Arabidopsis thaliana: one gene and its partners. The protein of the gene in region 4 interacts with the protein of the main gene of each other region in a pairwise test. Each region holds a gene or a part of one and is shown on either strand. Other genes may lie near its edges.

Evidence for each region.
Region 1: the proteins of AT3G29270 (region 4) and ATGP4 interact in a two-hybrid assay, tested with the Arabidopsis thaliana proteins (one large-scale study listed by BioGRID).
Region 2: the proteins of AT3G29270 (region 4) and AT1G35430 interact in a two-hybrid assay, tested with the Arabidopsis thaliana proteins (one large-scale study listed by BioGRID).
Region 3: the proteins of AT3G29270 (region 4) and AT3G54120 interact in a two-hybrid assay, tested with the Arabidopsis thaliana proteins (one large-scale study listed by BioGRID).

What each region holds. Positions count from the first base shown.
Region 1 is NC_003075.7:12,849,102-12,853,468, forward strand, and holds ATGP4 (Ubiquitin family protein), read right to left. Parts: upstream 2,710-4,367; 5' UTR 2,345-2,709; exon of another isoform or gene 2,249-2,344; 5' UTR 2,149-2,248; coding exon 2,019-2,148; intron 1,767-2,018; coding exon 1,596-1,766; intron 928-1,595; coding exon 872-927; 3' UTR 550-871; downstream 1-549. Other genes in the region: AMY1 (alpha-amylase-like protein), read right to left, coding at 3,008-3,259, 3,332-3,697, 3,922-4,352. UniProt on the Arabidopsis thaliana protein: May serve as docking site to facilitate the association of other proteins to the plasma membrane.
Region 2 is NC_003070.9:13,030,023-13,033,144, forward strand, and holds AT1G35430 (uncharacterized protein), read right to left. Parts: upstream 1,354-3,122; 5' UTR 1,010-1,353; coding exon 638-1,009; 3' UTR 531-637; downstream 1-530. Other genes in the region: AT1G35435 (Putative membrane lipoprotein), read right to left, coding at 2,784-2,959.
Region 3 is NC_003074.8:20,040,620-20,044,017, forward strand, and holds AT3G54120 (Reticulon family protein), read right to left. Parts: upstream 1,722-3,398; 5' UTR 1,515-1,721; coding exon 1,445-1,514; intron 1,343-1,444; coding exon 1,162-1,342; intron 1,098-1,161; coding exon 886-1,097; intron 799-885; coding exon 650-798; 3' UTR 507-649; downstream 1-506. Other genes in the region: PUMP1 (plant uncoupling mitochondrial protein 1), read left to right, coding at 1-58, 142-228, 333-377; AT3G54130 (Josephin family protein), read right to left, coding at 2,276-2,863.
Region 4 is NC_003074.8:11,232,352-11,236,988, reverse strand, and holds AT3G29270 (RING/U-box superfamily protein), read right to left. Parts: upstream 2,817-4,637; 5' UTR 2,649-2,816; exon of another isoform or gene 1,752-2,648; 5' UTR 1,664-1,751; coding exon 872-1,663; 3' UTR 531-871; downstream 1-530. Other genes in the region: AT3G29280 (uncharacterized protein), read left to right, coding at 1-125, 217-284.

The DNA of each region.
Region 1 (4,367 bases), on a different chromosome or scaffold from region 4:
TTTTCCATTGGGCCCTATCATAATTTATCCATCAACAGCCCAATCTTTTTAGCGCCACGCATAAAGCTTGGCTCCCTTTTTTGGTTTTTTTTCTCCTCGTTTTAAATGTTAAAACTAGGTTGTTTTACTTGTGTTTTGATATTTTTAACTATTGTTTGTAGTACATGTGTTTGATTCAATTTAGTTTCATATTGCCATCTTTCTGCAATTCTTTTTTTTTTTAATGTAGATAAGTACATACCATTGTTATGACTTTTTTTAGTTTATGTTGGTATTTATAAGTAGCTAGGTTATGACTTGTGTCATATATCATGTGTTATTACATCATGCCTCTGTTCGAGACTACGTCGCCTTCATCCATCACTACTCTTCCTGTCTGTCTGATCGGAACCGCAACTCCATCCTCTTACCTTTTCCCAACCTAAAACAAAAAGAGATGAATTTTCTGTTCGAAGTGATGTTCAGAGTTCATGAATTCATTAATTACATTTACGGGCCAGCCAGAATTTGGCCATTTCGCAAATTCACCTATACTAAAACGGTGTGAAAGGAAGAACGAAAAATACAAAGGCACAATCTTTTTTAAAAATAGATAGATATATAATTATCTTCATCACACGTAACGTAATGGACCTAGTAACCTATACAGCTTCCATACATTGGGAAAGTAAGAAGAAAAAACAAATAAGGGACAAAGAGTTACTTGAAAAGAATTTATAGTTCATTTTCTACACATTCAAAGATGATAAATAACTCCACAGCTTAAAGGGAAGCTTTACTTTACTTTTAGCTTTCTTTTTTTGATTTTGTTTTCTTCTGTACCGGAAGAATTGAAACGATGTGTATGATAGATACATTGGTCTTCCTCCCTTCACAAAATGGTGCATGTGCAGATTACTGCCTTTGGTGCTTTATCAACCTTCTTCTCTGTTTAATCAAAAACCAGTATTCAACTGTTAGTTAGCTTTCATCAACAAACGTCTTAGTAATCACAAACTCACTTTCCACGACTTTCTCAAGTTTGTGAAAAAACAAATTATGCAGACAAATCTCAAAGACTGGCAAAAGTTTTCAGTGGGGTTTACAAGGAGATGACGACCAATAATGAATTCAGGTATTCCTTTCCTCATGGCATGCTTTGCTAAGCTTAGAGCTGATTTTTGCTTTATTTCACACAAAGAACACACCAGAAACCTAGGAATGAATTCTAGGGTATCCTTTACTCTCTCTCAAGACAAACAAACCAAATTTAGACAAAACCACTAATCACCTGATAGGTTGATTGAGTCAGTACCATAGGCTGTTAGAAAGAAAAAGAATGTACTGATCTTAGTCACCGACTAACTTTCTGATGTGCATGAACACTCTTACGAAATCTTACCAGCCTCAATTAATATAAGTATGACTAGAGCTAGATATTATAAGACGTAAAGTTGAGCCAGATAAATGAATACCATAATCCATACAGTTGACAAGATAAATACCACAAGACTAATGAAAGATTGAGGAACCTCTAAGGACACATATATCTCCATGAAACGGGAATTCTCTGATATAAAAGACATGAAGAACATTACACATAGACAAACAACTACCTGTTTTGGATTTAGCTAGAGAAGGCTGTACAACAACATGCATCACAATGACTCCACCAGCAATATCTCCAAATGGTGTCTTACACTGCCCAACAGTCTTGTTGTTCTCCAAGATCTTACCCGAGCTTATCAGCTTCACTTCGTTTATCCCCTTTGGAACAACTGTTTTGCCTAACCAAAACCACAAAAAAATTGATGCTTGGATCAACCTCAAATCACAGAGACTTGGCTTTTCTCATACATCAAGCTTATAACATCTCAAATGAGCTAATAATAATTCATCTACAGCTCTAAATTTCGAATTTCTACCGACAATTGCAGGATTCAGTGACAATCAACACGAAATTCGTGGGAAGATCATGAATAAAACCAGGATCAGATTGGGGAAAAAGGGGCACCGATTCAAAAAACCTTAAAACTAACCTTTGGGCCAATCAGAGACGACCCTCTGCTTCAAAAAGTCAACAGTAGAAGCCGCAGAATACCGAAAAGGCCCGATATCGGAGCCATCGTACAACCTGAATTTGATATCTATCGATTCTTCCTCCGGCATATCCGTTGACTTCTCTCTGACCTCCGATTACCAACCAAATTCCAGCTCCGATCACCAATCCCGCTTCTCAAACACAACTATTTCAGATCTGAAAATAGGTCTGAAAAAAAGTAGACAGGAACGAGAATCAGAGCTCGCTTCGAAACGGGATAGAACAAAAAAACAAAAAACAAAAAAGAGGAAGAATCAAACACACAGAATCGAAGCTTCCTCCGAAATCGTGTTTCGGATCTTTGATTTTGAGGTGTGAAAAAAGCGAAAGAAGGAAGAAGAAAGAGCTTGCTTTTTTCAAGAGTCACCAAATATCAAAGTTCCTTCTCAAGCCGACGGTTTTCACTTTTTTCCTTCCTTTTTTTTTTCCCCTTTCTTTTCGTCGTCACTTCTACTTCTTCTCAAGCCGACGTCTTCAACTTTTATTGTCCTAGCCAAAAACGCTGTCGTTTTATTCGAATTTACCTGTCTAACTGTTCCCACTTCCCACCATACTTTTTTTTTCTTCTTCTACAATAATATAATTCGTTCTGATTTTGGCAGTATTGTGTGGTTAAGACATCATAATTCTGATTTTAGTAGGGCTCCAAATCTTATACGAGTCGGCCAATATATAATATATTAGTTGTATGCAACAAAACAAAACGATGGAAACTTTCCAATACTTATTTCTACAAGTTGACACTTCTTCACTTGAACTCTTTTCTTTCACTGGAGTTGTATCCTTTAACACCACTAGTGCTCTTTTTATTTAGGTATTCTTTATCATTTTATATTTCATTATACATATCTTTAGATACTGCCAAAATGTTTTATTAAAAAGGAAGAAGATACATTCGATTACTTTTCTTATGATTCGAGTTATGCGTTACTTCTTCTCCCAGACAGCAAAGTCAAGGCCTGAATAAGCTAAAGCAAAATTAGAAGGAACAAGTGTTCCCACATCTTGCTTTGGTCCAATCTTCATGATAACTTTATCATCAATCATAGCCAAGTAGAGATCCGCCTCTGCCGCTTTTATCGTTACAGAGCTTGTGCTACCAATCCCATTTTTGTTCCTGATAGCCACCAGCTTTGAGATGCTCTCTTTTAGTCCCCATTCTATGTAATGATTATAAAACTGCAACAAAAATAACATATCAACAAGATTGTAGTTGTAAATAGTATAGCTACATACTAAAATGATACTTACAATGCAAGGAGTTCCTGGATGAGTAAGTATATAAACGTATCCAAGCAAGACTTTATCAGAAGGGAAAACCCACGTTCTGAATGTATCATGGTTATCTATGAATGTGACAGCGTTTCCGGGCATGATTCCTATCATACCAGGCGGTTTTCCCTGCGAGTCCTTTAGTCTCCAAAGCTCACCTTTGACAGCAGACTGTAAGATCCCTTTGGTGGTGAAATCAAAAGCTGTCAACACACCACCACCCGCTTCCTCGATCCACTGTTTGAGACCCGACCGATGCTCGTTCTGATCATAGTCTAGTTTCCCGTCTCCTCCGTACTTCATATCGTCCCATTTCTCACCCACCGCAAAATCCGGTGATGTATTCTGTGTATCCAAAAACAGAGGAATTTATCACATAATCAGTAGTGAACTTTCTTATATATTTCTTATTGATTGCATTGACTTATGTTTCTTATATACTAAATAGTAGTAAATAACCCTATCAACCTATGATACTTATATATACTAATAGTAAATAATTATCTCAACCTATGTTTCTTATATACTAATACTGTTGTCTGATATTTGAGAATTCATATGTGATTTACCTGAACGTATAATTTGGTGATGGAAGATGCATAACCTCGAACATAATCAAATCTCCAACCATGGAATCCGATTTCAGTTTTAAGCCAATTCATCCATTCGGACAACTCTTTCTGAACTCTAGGGTTAAGGTGGTCGATGTCGGGCGCTCCATCAAAATCTCCTCCGGTGTCGAGGTTTCCGGTACCGGGAAATTTAGGGTCATTGCGGCAGACAAAGGAAGGATCCCAATCAAGACGATCATCGGAAGTCCCACCTTCGAAATAACAGTATCCACATTTATCGTCTTTCCTCTCAGCTGTTCTGTGGTTAATCACTATATCAGCCAAAGCTTTTATTCCTTTTTGATTCAACGCTTTGATTAACGATTTCAGTTCCGCCTCTGAACCGTATTTGGAGCTGTTTAGATCGTATAGCTTTCCCGGTAAGTAACCTGAGGAATGAAGAT
Region 2 (3,122 bases), on a different chromosome or scaffold from region 4:
TATGATTTGTCTTGTGGGAACACACTCGGTTCACACAAAACAAAGGTGGCCCTTGATCTGACCCAACACAAGAACTCGTATCCAACATTTTTTTACCAAATTCTCTCAAAAAACAAAAATAAAAAGCATTATTGGAAAAATATACTCTTGACAATAATGGAAAGTAAAATAACCTGGCCCCTTAATTAATGGCGGAGATGATGATAAATTAAAATTGATGGTAATGAATTTCTTTTATCATTAGTAATGATTTTTTTTTTTAATCCAAAATTAATTAGAACTCTTAATTAGAGTTCATAAGAGTCATTCCTGAAAAATGTTGTTTACATAAGTGATATGATGCGGTTGGACACGAACTTTATGTGCCAAATTATCCGTTTTGACATTTGCACTATTCGTAATAATTTTTGATATATATAAATTATATAATTATGATGTGAATTTTTGTGTGTTTTTTTGTTGAAATATTTATTTTTTGGTGTATTTGTTGAAAAAAAAAAAAAAAAAACTGAATCAAGAGAAACGAAAATGGTAGAAAATTTTCAATTAATCGGATTTGAAAAGTATATAGTAAAACTGACATTTTTGTTTATCTACATAAAAAGATCAAAATCTAAAGGAATCGAAAAAAGGAAATTTACGAAAGAAGAGGAACTCTAATAATTTGATCGGAATCTTGATCTTGATCTTGATCTTCTTCACCACAATCATAAACAGATCTAACCAAAACCAACTGATCTTCCAAGTATCTCTGAAGCAAACCAGCTTCTTCCGGTTCATCAAACCCGCCGCAACCACATCCTTCTTCACATCTCCGGAGCCTCAAATCATCTTCCTCGGCGGTGGATTTAGCAAACCAAGGATGACGACTACGGAGACGACTAAAGATCTCGACGGCGCAGAGGATTGGGATTGAGGCACAGAGGATTGGGATTAGTAATGGAGAACAGAGGAGAAAGAAAACGAAACGGCTCCGTCGTGTACGAAGCCAAAAGACGTCGGTCAACATAATGGTGACGACGGCGCGTGAAGAGTCATGGCTGGAGTAAATGGGGAGGAGAGGAGGTCGTGGGTTGTACGACACGACTTTGGTAAATGAGTGGGATCATGGAGAAGCTTCTTTGGCACATGACTTTGTTCTTTTTATTTGACTTTTTTATATACTTGTGTTTGGTTTTTGTCATGTGACTGTTTTTTACTTATTTACAAAATTTGATAAATCTGTTTGTTATATGAGCAAGACCAGTTTGGAGGAAAGTTATTATGAAATACAAAGAGTCGGAAAGTACAAGAACATTTCTGAAGACAGATAAGCTAACGAGTACAAAAACATTCCTGGAGACAAGATTAAAGAAGGTAAACAAAGGAGAAAAAACTCGAGCAAACAAACTACATAATATCTATCAATATTTCCCGAATCGGAATTTAGAAACTCAAAAAATATTTACAAAACTAAAACTAAAATTTAAAACAAATCTGAGACATACAAAACACACAAACAAATTACAATACAAAAAATCTCTTTTACCATAAGTTAGAACTGAATGAAAGTAGTCACGTGCGACCTTCATTGTAAAACTCCGGAGAAGAGCCATGGAGACGGTGGGACACATCCAAAACCTAGAGATTCAAATATCGTTTCTTATCTAGTTTTGTGCTGATTAGACTTATCTATTTTGGAGAAAAAAAATGTTATAACCCGAATTGGATTTTCTCTTTGAGAAAGTGTTAATAGATCGTGTTTGGATCAACCGTTTGATTGCGGTTAACGATTGTAAAATGCGATTATCAATTTCAAACGGAAGTTGAGAAGCTTAATTGATTTTAGTGATTTAGGTGGAATTATATACATTGGGAGAAAAATGGAATAGGGCATAGGCTGAAAGTATGGGAAATCCTAGTGGAAAAGCTAAATTACAGGGGGCCTCCTACAGCCCAAAAACATTAATCGGTATAAGTTTGATCATCGATCCAAAAAGGAAATCATTTTTGGACTATTGACCAAAAACAATATTATTTTGGAATTAATTATAAATTTAGAAATTAAAAAGGAAGATTATGAAAACTATCATATCTTTGAGTTTTCATTTGAAAACTACATTTTCTTTGTGTTTAATAAAACTTAATTTTTAATATCTAAATGACAGTTTTGTCCATATTTAAAATAAAAGTTGTTTACTTAATAAATTAAAACAATATTTAGAAAGAAAAAAAATCGTAATCTTAATTATTTTTTCAACTATTTTTGAGATAAAAACAGTTTATTTATTTTCTATATTAAAATTTAATTAGATAATATCTAAAAATATTTTAAAGTCTCTCACTTAAGATATTTTCAAGTGTTTGAAACACAATTTTGAATTTTCAATAGACAGGATCTTAGATTATTTTTTAATTTATTTTTCTTTTGTTTTAGGACGAAATTTTGTTTAAATATTTAAAATAGGAACGGTTATCTTTAAAAATGTAAAATATATTAAATATTAATTTAAAATTTAAAATTTATGGAAATTTTCAGTTTTAAGTTTAAATTCATTTTAATTATTATGAAATATTAATGAGGCAATTTTAGTAATTTTATATACTTAAATTTAGTTTTTAAAAGAGGAAAAAGGATAGGGTATTATTCAAATGAAAACTCAAAAAATAGGGCATTTTTGTTACAAGAAAATATTATTTTCTGCAAACATTATATAAAATTCTGTATTGTTGACATATCTTAAAACAATGATTCATTTCTATATAAATAAAATATAAATATTCAACCAAAATCATAATTATTTTTAGTAATTTGTGGTACAACAACAAAAATATTCGTAATCATCATAATCGAACATGCATAAACCAAGAGTTTCATGTGAGAACTCAGGCGGTCCACATCGACTCCTACATTCGTAGCTATCTCGGCACCGACCTCTGTAAACACACTCGCTAGGTCCAACTTGCATTCTTTTCACTACTATTAATCGCCAAAACAAATCAATAATAATCATTAGTTACTATATTTTTTCCAAGAAATTATGTATTAAATATCGTCTACGAATTTGAAAAGAGAGACATGTATAGCAAAAGTTTAGGTGAAAAGAGAGAAAAATTTGACATAACAACAACAACAAAAACTG
Region 3 (3,398 bases), 8.8 Mb from region 4:
AGATTCTGGTGCTTACAAGGGCACCATTGACTGCTTCGTCAAAACTCTGAAGAGCGACGTAAGCAACTCTGCTTCTGATACCTCCATTGTTCTAGATATAACCCAGAAAATGTTACAAACTCTTTACGGTTTCCTCTACAGGGTCCTATGGCATTTTACAAGGGTTTCATCCCCAACTTTGGACGCCTTGGCTCATGGAACGTAATCATGTTTTTGACCCTCGAACAGGTAACAACTGATAGAATTTTTATTTTATCGCAATCGCATTCGAATCGGTCACGCAAAGTCTTCTTTCTCATTTTCTAATCCGGGTTCTTAATACTCTAATCCAGGCAAAGAAGTATGTCCGGGAACTCGATGCGTCCAAAAGAAACTGAGACACATAGTTTTAAGCAGAGGGAATAAGAGCAACATTGTTTTCTTCTTCATTTTCGGTGATTGAGAGAGGCCAGAACTTGGTCGAATATTGTTTTCGGAATAGAGATTCAGTTTTCGAGTAAAACTGTGAAATAAAATTTCTGTGGATTGCTCATATATTGGCTGTACCATCCAACATTTATCAAAAATCATACATTTTTCTCCTTTCTTTCCACAAAACCGAGAAAAATCAGAAAAAGAAACTCCTGAAGAAGAAAGAGGTGACAGCATCTCAGCTCAGTTTCTTATTTTCCGGATTAGCCCATATCTCGAGTCTAAGGTAAAGCTCTCTAGTTTTGTTGCAGATAAACTCAATAGAGCCAACAATGTAATCCTCATATCTCTCATAGAAAGCTGGAACCGTCATAACCACCAAAACGCCTGCCAAATTAACCAAGAACAACCACAAAATGAATATCCAGCTCAAAAGCATTCCAAGTCTATAGGAGTTTTAGAATATCTACTTACTGGTGTGGCAAAGTGTCTGAAAATCCATGAGACTTCCGATCAATGAGAGAAGAAACAGTGACACTGCTACTTTGGTATACAACTCTGAGTCTCTTGCCATTGCAATGTCATGCGAAACTTGGAGTAGCTTGTTCACATGAATACGTAACCATATCGAAGCTTCTTCCGCCATCGCTTCACTTATTTGAAACTCCGGTAACGGCGGTGATGGCCTGAAGAGCCAAGAAATTGAATCAGAAATGAAGTAATATTAGTTACAAGTGAATATTAATATACCTGTTGAGAATGGAAGCAGATTTGGACCAGAGGAAGAGAATAGAGAGCAAGAGAAGAAGAACACTTGAAATAAGAGTAAAGATAGTGTAAGCAAATGCCTCAAACACCATCCATGAAGCTATTGTCACTGTAACTATACCAACACTCACATTCTTCTTCCTCCACAGCATCACATCTGCAACTGCAGATTCATTTCATAACAAGAAAAAAAAAAGGCTATAGAGGTGAGAGATCACCTAGCTTTTATAAGTTTTGGATTTGGTAAAGAAATGTATTCACTAACCAATGCCTCCTCCCAGAATCTCATGTATTGTCCTGTCTCTGTTGAACAACTTGTCCGAAGAAGAACTCATTTGAGAAGAAAGATCAGAGCAAACTTGGATTCAGATTTCCTCAGATGATCAGATCCCAAAAGTAACCCAGATATGTATATCTTTCTCTGAATGTCAGAAACAGATCATTATGTGAAAGGAAATCCTAAAGGCTCGAATCGAAGGAACCTGATGTATCACAAAGAAAGTAAAAATAAAAAGTGAAGAAGAGACTAAAGTTGGGTCATCACCATCATCATCAAAGCCATCAACTTTGAATATACAAATAATTAATTAATAATTCAAAGGCTATGCTCTGTTTAGGGAAAAAGAAGGTGTTTGTTGTCCTCTCGATGTTTTTATTTCCAGCCTAAAAGTGTTATCCTTCTTGTTTTTTTCAAACTGTAAAAGTTCGCCAGATTGTACTTAGAGATGAATCAAATTTTACACCATCCTTTTATATTTTCCATAGAACACATTTAAATTGGTCATTCATCTACTTTTAGTCAACTGAAGTAATTTATGTACCCTTTTCAGATGTAGTTTCCTATGAATTCGAAAAGGTCGAATCTTTATCCTCAATTTAAGATTGTCAGAAGAATTTAATATGGTAAAAAAATCAAACAAAAACAATTCCACAAACCATTTATTATCCTCTGTTTTCTATCTTTCGATGTAAGCTTTTTTCTTTCTCTGTTCTGTATGTAAAATTGTTGATAACTCTTGATAACAAACCAAAACAAAGAAACAAAAGTGAATATCCCACCACCTCCATCAATAACACTTGTTCTCTATTTTCTCTGCTACTTTTGTTTCTCAGTTTCCTTTTCAGAAGTGCCCACAGCTCCGAGATTGGCCTCAGCAGCAGAAGCATCAAGCAAACTTGCTGCAATTGCTGCCTTCAAGTCATCATCTTCCATCTCTGAAAAAGCCTGCACTTCCTCACGTGACAATGCCTGATTCCGTCTTTGTTGATTAACATTGTCATTACTTCTCTTGTTTCTGGCAGAAGAACCTGAGCTCGTGTTCTTTCTTATTCTCTCTGCGTCTTCAGGAGAAAGCCACTGCCCGAAACTATTGGAAGCTTCAGAAGAAGACGACATGGGACATTCCTGAGGGAAGTTTCCTTTCACTATGAAGATACTCCATCCTGCGCCTTTGAGAGAGTCTAAGAACGCAGAAAGGTAGAACTTCGATAAATGTTGCGGGGCAGCAAGGAGACTATCAAAGTTATACCATTCGCCATTCACTTTCCTTATACAAAACCAATGGTCATGCAAGTGGCAGATAAAGGCGCTTTCAAGCTCAGGGTCTATCTGCGCAGGCTCTGCATCTGGACAATTGAGTGGAATTACTTGTAGATCCCACACTTCCAAAGCTTTTTGCAAGACCTGTCAATCAAACAGAAGCATTCTCAGTTAAACGAATAAGCAAAGACTAGATCAACTTTGCAAGATTAAAATGCTACACCAATCGCATAAACCCTCTGTTTGCAGTGTTTTATCCGCATCCAACTTCAACGTAATCCGTTAAAATAGCTTTAATTTTAGATATCTAAAAATGTGATGTAAAACACCATACTATACCCTTGAATCTCAATACATAAATCTTGCAATCAAACCTGACTTTTGTAGCAACCTAATCAAATATCAAGTTATCAACCAACTCGGTTTAAAGCTATCCAAGAAACAAAAGATGATAATTGAATATACAGAACCTCACTAATAACTAACATATCCAAAACAATTGAGTCCCAAGATAAAAAAAATCATCTCAAGTTCCTCCATTTATCAGCATAGCAATGTTCGCACAATGAAACTAGCCTTCAACAAATGAGTTTTAACCCAAAGTAAAGATCGCAAATTCACACCATTACTGATCTCAATTCTTCTTGAATCTATCTAAAAACGAATCCAACCATTCAAA
Region 4 (4,637 bases):
CGAAGAAAAACACGGGAAGAAGAAAGTATCGGTTTCGTTCGAGTGTGAGACATTGAAGGCAGATGAAGCAGCAGAGGACCATATCAGACAGTTTATGCCCAAATTAGCTGGACTTGATGCTGTTAGTAAGTAAAACCAACACTTTATTCTTGTGCCATTCTCATTACATTTATGTTGTCTTGTTTTGTTGAATCAACACACCGGGGTTTTTGCCAGTTAACATTGGACCGATGAAGATTTCCGGGCTTGATTTTGCTGCGGTGGAAGAGGGACACATAAACTAAGACAGCTTAACTCTTTCTTTTTGTGTATACATCATATTTGAATGCTCTTTGAGTCTTTGTTTCATATCGTAGAACACAATTAACGCTTTAAGCTCAAATGATCTAGACTAGAACTCATAGAAAACATAAAAGAGAAATAACCGAACCGAAACCAAACCGAAAAGCCGTACACCCACCCCTAATTTTGGGTGTCATCTTTTGCTTTCTTCTATGGAAATGGGTGGAACAAACAAACAAAAGAAAAAAAAACCCATACAATTTAGTCATTATATATAAGAAAAATCAATGCATTTAGTTACGCAATTCCTAAATAACATTGCATAAACTTTATATACATAAATCTTATTGAGACACTCAAACACTCACAAACAAATCCACAAATACTAATAAGTTTCTGCAAGAGCCCTTACAACACATACGTCCAGCTTCGTAGAGCAACAATGCAATCCAAAACTACATCCATATATAGATAAAGAAGACGGTAATTACGAAATTGTTATACTTACATGACCGATCTTGGGTCTCAGTTGTTGAAGAAAAGTCGTCAAATTAGGAATGGGAAGTTTCTGAACGCATCCTTAGAAAGTTCATGTGACAATCTCTCGAACAAGCCAGTCGAGACAAGGATAAGCGAAGTAGAGGATGAGAAACGACGGTAGAGCCAGCAAGAGAGTGACTAGAATGTACATCGCCAATATGGCTGCACTGGTCGGTATTGCATAGAGTATTATCAGCAGAAATATGACAACTAATGGGAACTTTGCTGTCAACTGGACAAAGAAAACCAGAGACTTCCTCAGTGAAGTTTGTATGTTGTCCCTTGGAATGCGATGATCATTAACAGAACGTGATGGTTCAGGTTGACTGCGATGATGGCGATTGTGGAGACATGGAGATGGAGTTTCCCTTGTATGATCATTGTTTCCATCTGTTTGAGCTCCACCAGGTGAGTTACGTCTCTCTCCATTCATCCTCTCGACCATCCAAAGCACAAAGTAGTTCTTGTGAGGGAATCTGAGTGTTCCTCTGAAGACCAGACGGAAAGACAAAAGGTTGCACCAGGGGCATGAAATGAAGAGAGGAAGCTGAACCGGGTGAGTAGGCAATTTCACAATAGCCCATTGAAGTCCCAAAATGCAGTTTTTACACATCGTATGTCCACACCATAACACATACGGAACGTTTTCAACTATATTAAATGATTCCCAGCATATAGGACACTCGAGACCTTCGTCTTTACTACCTACAGAAGATACATCGTCATCTGAACACTCCGCATGAGCATGGACCGGTCTTCTGATATCGTTTTTCGGTCCAATGTTTCCCGTAAGATAACTCGATGCTAGATTCCACATTCTAGTATCAGGGATGGATAACATGAATACCTTGTTTGTCACTAAGACCTAACCAGTTCTGCTAATACTTAACTCTCTGACCTTCATGAACACCGAACTCGATGCTTCATCGCTTCATAAGCAAAGAGAAAACACATATTAATCCTTCAAAGACAATCCCAACGACACACCGATGCAATTCCAACTAAGAATCAACTAATAAGATTAAGTGCTACATTGAGCAACCATGGTAACACAAATCATTAAGAACCTACTATACAGCAAGATTCAATTTTTATGATCAGAATCGATATTCGAACGCTTTAACTTGTATTAGAGCTCAAAGCTCGACAATTTCATCGATAAAGGGGACTCTTTTATCTTTGAGCCAAGTTTACTCACCGATGCAATTCTAACTAAGAATCAACTAAGATTAAGTGCTACATTGAGCAACCATGGCAACACAAATGATTAAGCAACTACTATATAGCAAGATTCAATTTTTATGATCAGAATCGATTATTCGAACGCTTTAACTTGTATTAGAGCTCAAAGCTCGATCATTTCAGCGATAAAGGGGACTCTTTTATCTTTGAGCTAAATTTACTCACAGATGCAATTCTATATCAGTAGCAACCAACTAATAAGACCAAGATTTAGTGATACATTAAGCAACCATAGCAACACAAATGATTAAGAAAACCCTAAATAGAAAGTTTCAATTTTTATACTCAGAATCGAAATCAGACTCTCAGACTTGTATTAGACCTAAAGCTCAATCATTTTCAGCAATAAAGATGATTCCTTTATCTCAAAGGTTATGACTTTATCCGATACAGAAGATCCCAATATAAGATTAAAGGAAGAAAGAGAAAACCCTAAAATCAAAATCACTAAATGAGATAATTGATCACAGAATTAAGCAGCTAACGAAGTAATCGAACCTAGATAGATAATTGAAAGGACAGAGCAATCAAATGGTTCACAATAACCGAAACTAAATCAGAGTGATTTAGATAAAGATTCGTACCGATTCGACTCTGCTCTGAGCTTTTTGTTTCGTACGTGAAAGAAGAAGATGCTTGATTCGATTTTTCCGGCGAGACCTAAACTTTCTGGGTTTTGTTTTGCTTTCATAAACGACGTCGTTTCAATCGTGTACCCAAGTTTTCCTTCCAAAAGTGTTTTTGATATTTTCTAACGTAAAAACTTGGTTAGTTGTTTTTTTATAAACATAATAACATTACCAACCAAAACATTTACGCTTATTGAAGATTAAGTAAACCTCTGAAAAAATAAAACACAGAGCGGTTAATTTTATTAATATAATTTAATAGAATTTTGTATTATAAGTTATTTATCAATTCAATTTTTTTAATATTTTAAAAAGAATAATAATAAATATATTAAAAAGAAGAAATATGAGAAAAAGAACAATCACGAAAGAAAAATAATAATAAAAGAAACTTTACGTTGTTTTTTTTTTATCTATATGAGTGTATATAGATAAAATGCAAATGGACTTAATATGTAAATATTTCTTTAATTTTTGCAACATTCTTCTCGTCCAGAGTTCATTTGTCATTTATCTCTTTGCGATATCTTTCATGTTGTCTCGTTAAAACTTTTCTAATAAAATCCATTGGTAGAAACCACAGTAAGGTAAAAAAGTATAATCATACAAGCTCTCCCTCGAATGACTATGGACATGGGGTGCAGGATGTTCGACATTTTTTCTTGTTACCATGTAATAATCATTGAATGCTTGAGACGTAAATTCACCAACGTTATCTAATCTAACTCCTTTGATTGGATAATCAGGAAACTCAGCTCTTAGTTTTGATTATCTGAGTTAGAAATCTCGCAAATACCACATTTCAAGATGATAACAAACAAACATGTGACCATCTACTAGACATGTCTATCATTACCATGAAATAATATAATGGTATACATGGTGGGTGTATAGGTTCACAAATGTCGCATTTGACTCGTTCAAGGAATTTTGGTAATTCTTTATCGATTTTGCTTGTCGATGGCCTTATAATCAATTTTCCAAGAGAAAACGTAACACATGTCCTTTTATTTTCTTGATAAAACTCTTAGGGTTTCATTGAATGTCCATGTGAGCTTTTTATAATTTTTTGCATCATCGTGGTGCCTGGGTGACCAAGGCGATCGTGCCACAATGTGAAATCATCATGATCTCTTTTGATAACAAGATGTGATCCTATTGAATTAATGTATGTATGATGCAATCCTGATGGGAGTCTTGGTAATTTTTCCAAAACGTGTCTTTTTCCCAATTTTTCAGAAGTGATATACATGTACTTTTTTTCATTCTCACTTGCACACTGAGTGTCATATCCATGAAGGTATATATCTTTGAAACTCAACAAATTTCTTTTTGAATTTGGTAAAAATAATGCATTATTTATCGAGAACTTTGTCCCGTTAAGTAATGCAAAATTTGTTTTACCGGTCCATTCAATTAAGTCTATGGGACCTGATATTGTGTTAACAATAACTTTTGTTGATTTCAAATGAGAGAATTTTTTTTTTTGTTTTAGAATAGTGTGTGTTGTTCCACTATTCGGTATGCAAATATCTCTAAGGTTTGCCTTGGATACCATTCCATTTGTAATGTGATCCATTTCTGAAATAAACATAATCGATTAAGGTAAGTAGAAAATAAATTTATTAATCAAGCATATAACACCCGATAATTATACATGATAGGTAACACAAGCACACAATAATTACACATGATAGGTAATACAAACACACAAACTTAGGAAATTTCAAGCAAGCGTCGATTTATTTATGACATATTAATTCGAGCCCCACACGATAGAAATTTCAGTTTTCCACAAGGACAACCTCATCGAGATCATTAGCAAAGTCAGAAGCATCAAGGTGGGTTGTACCCTCAGAATGTTCCGCAAGGTTCACTTCCTTTCCTTTTCCCTTAACAGATTTTTTGTACAGAGCACAAAGGTGTGCTGGAGTTCGGCATACC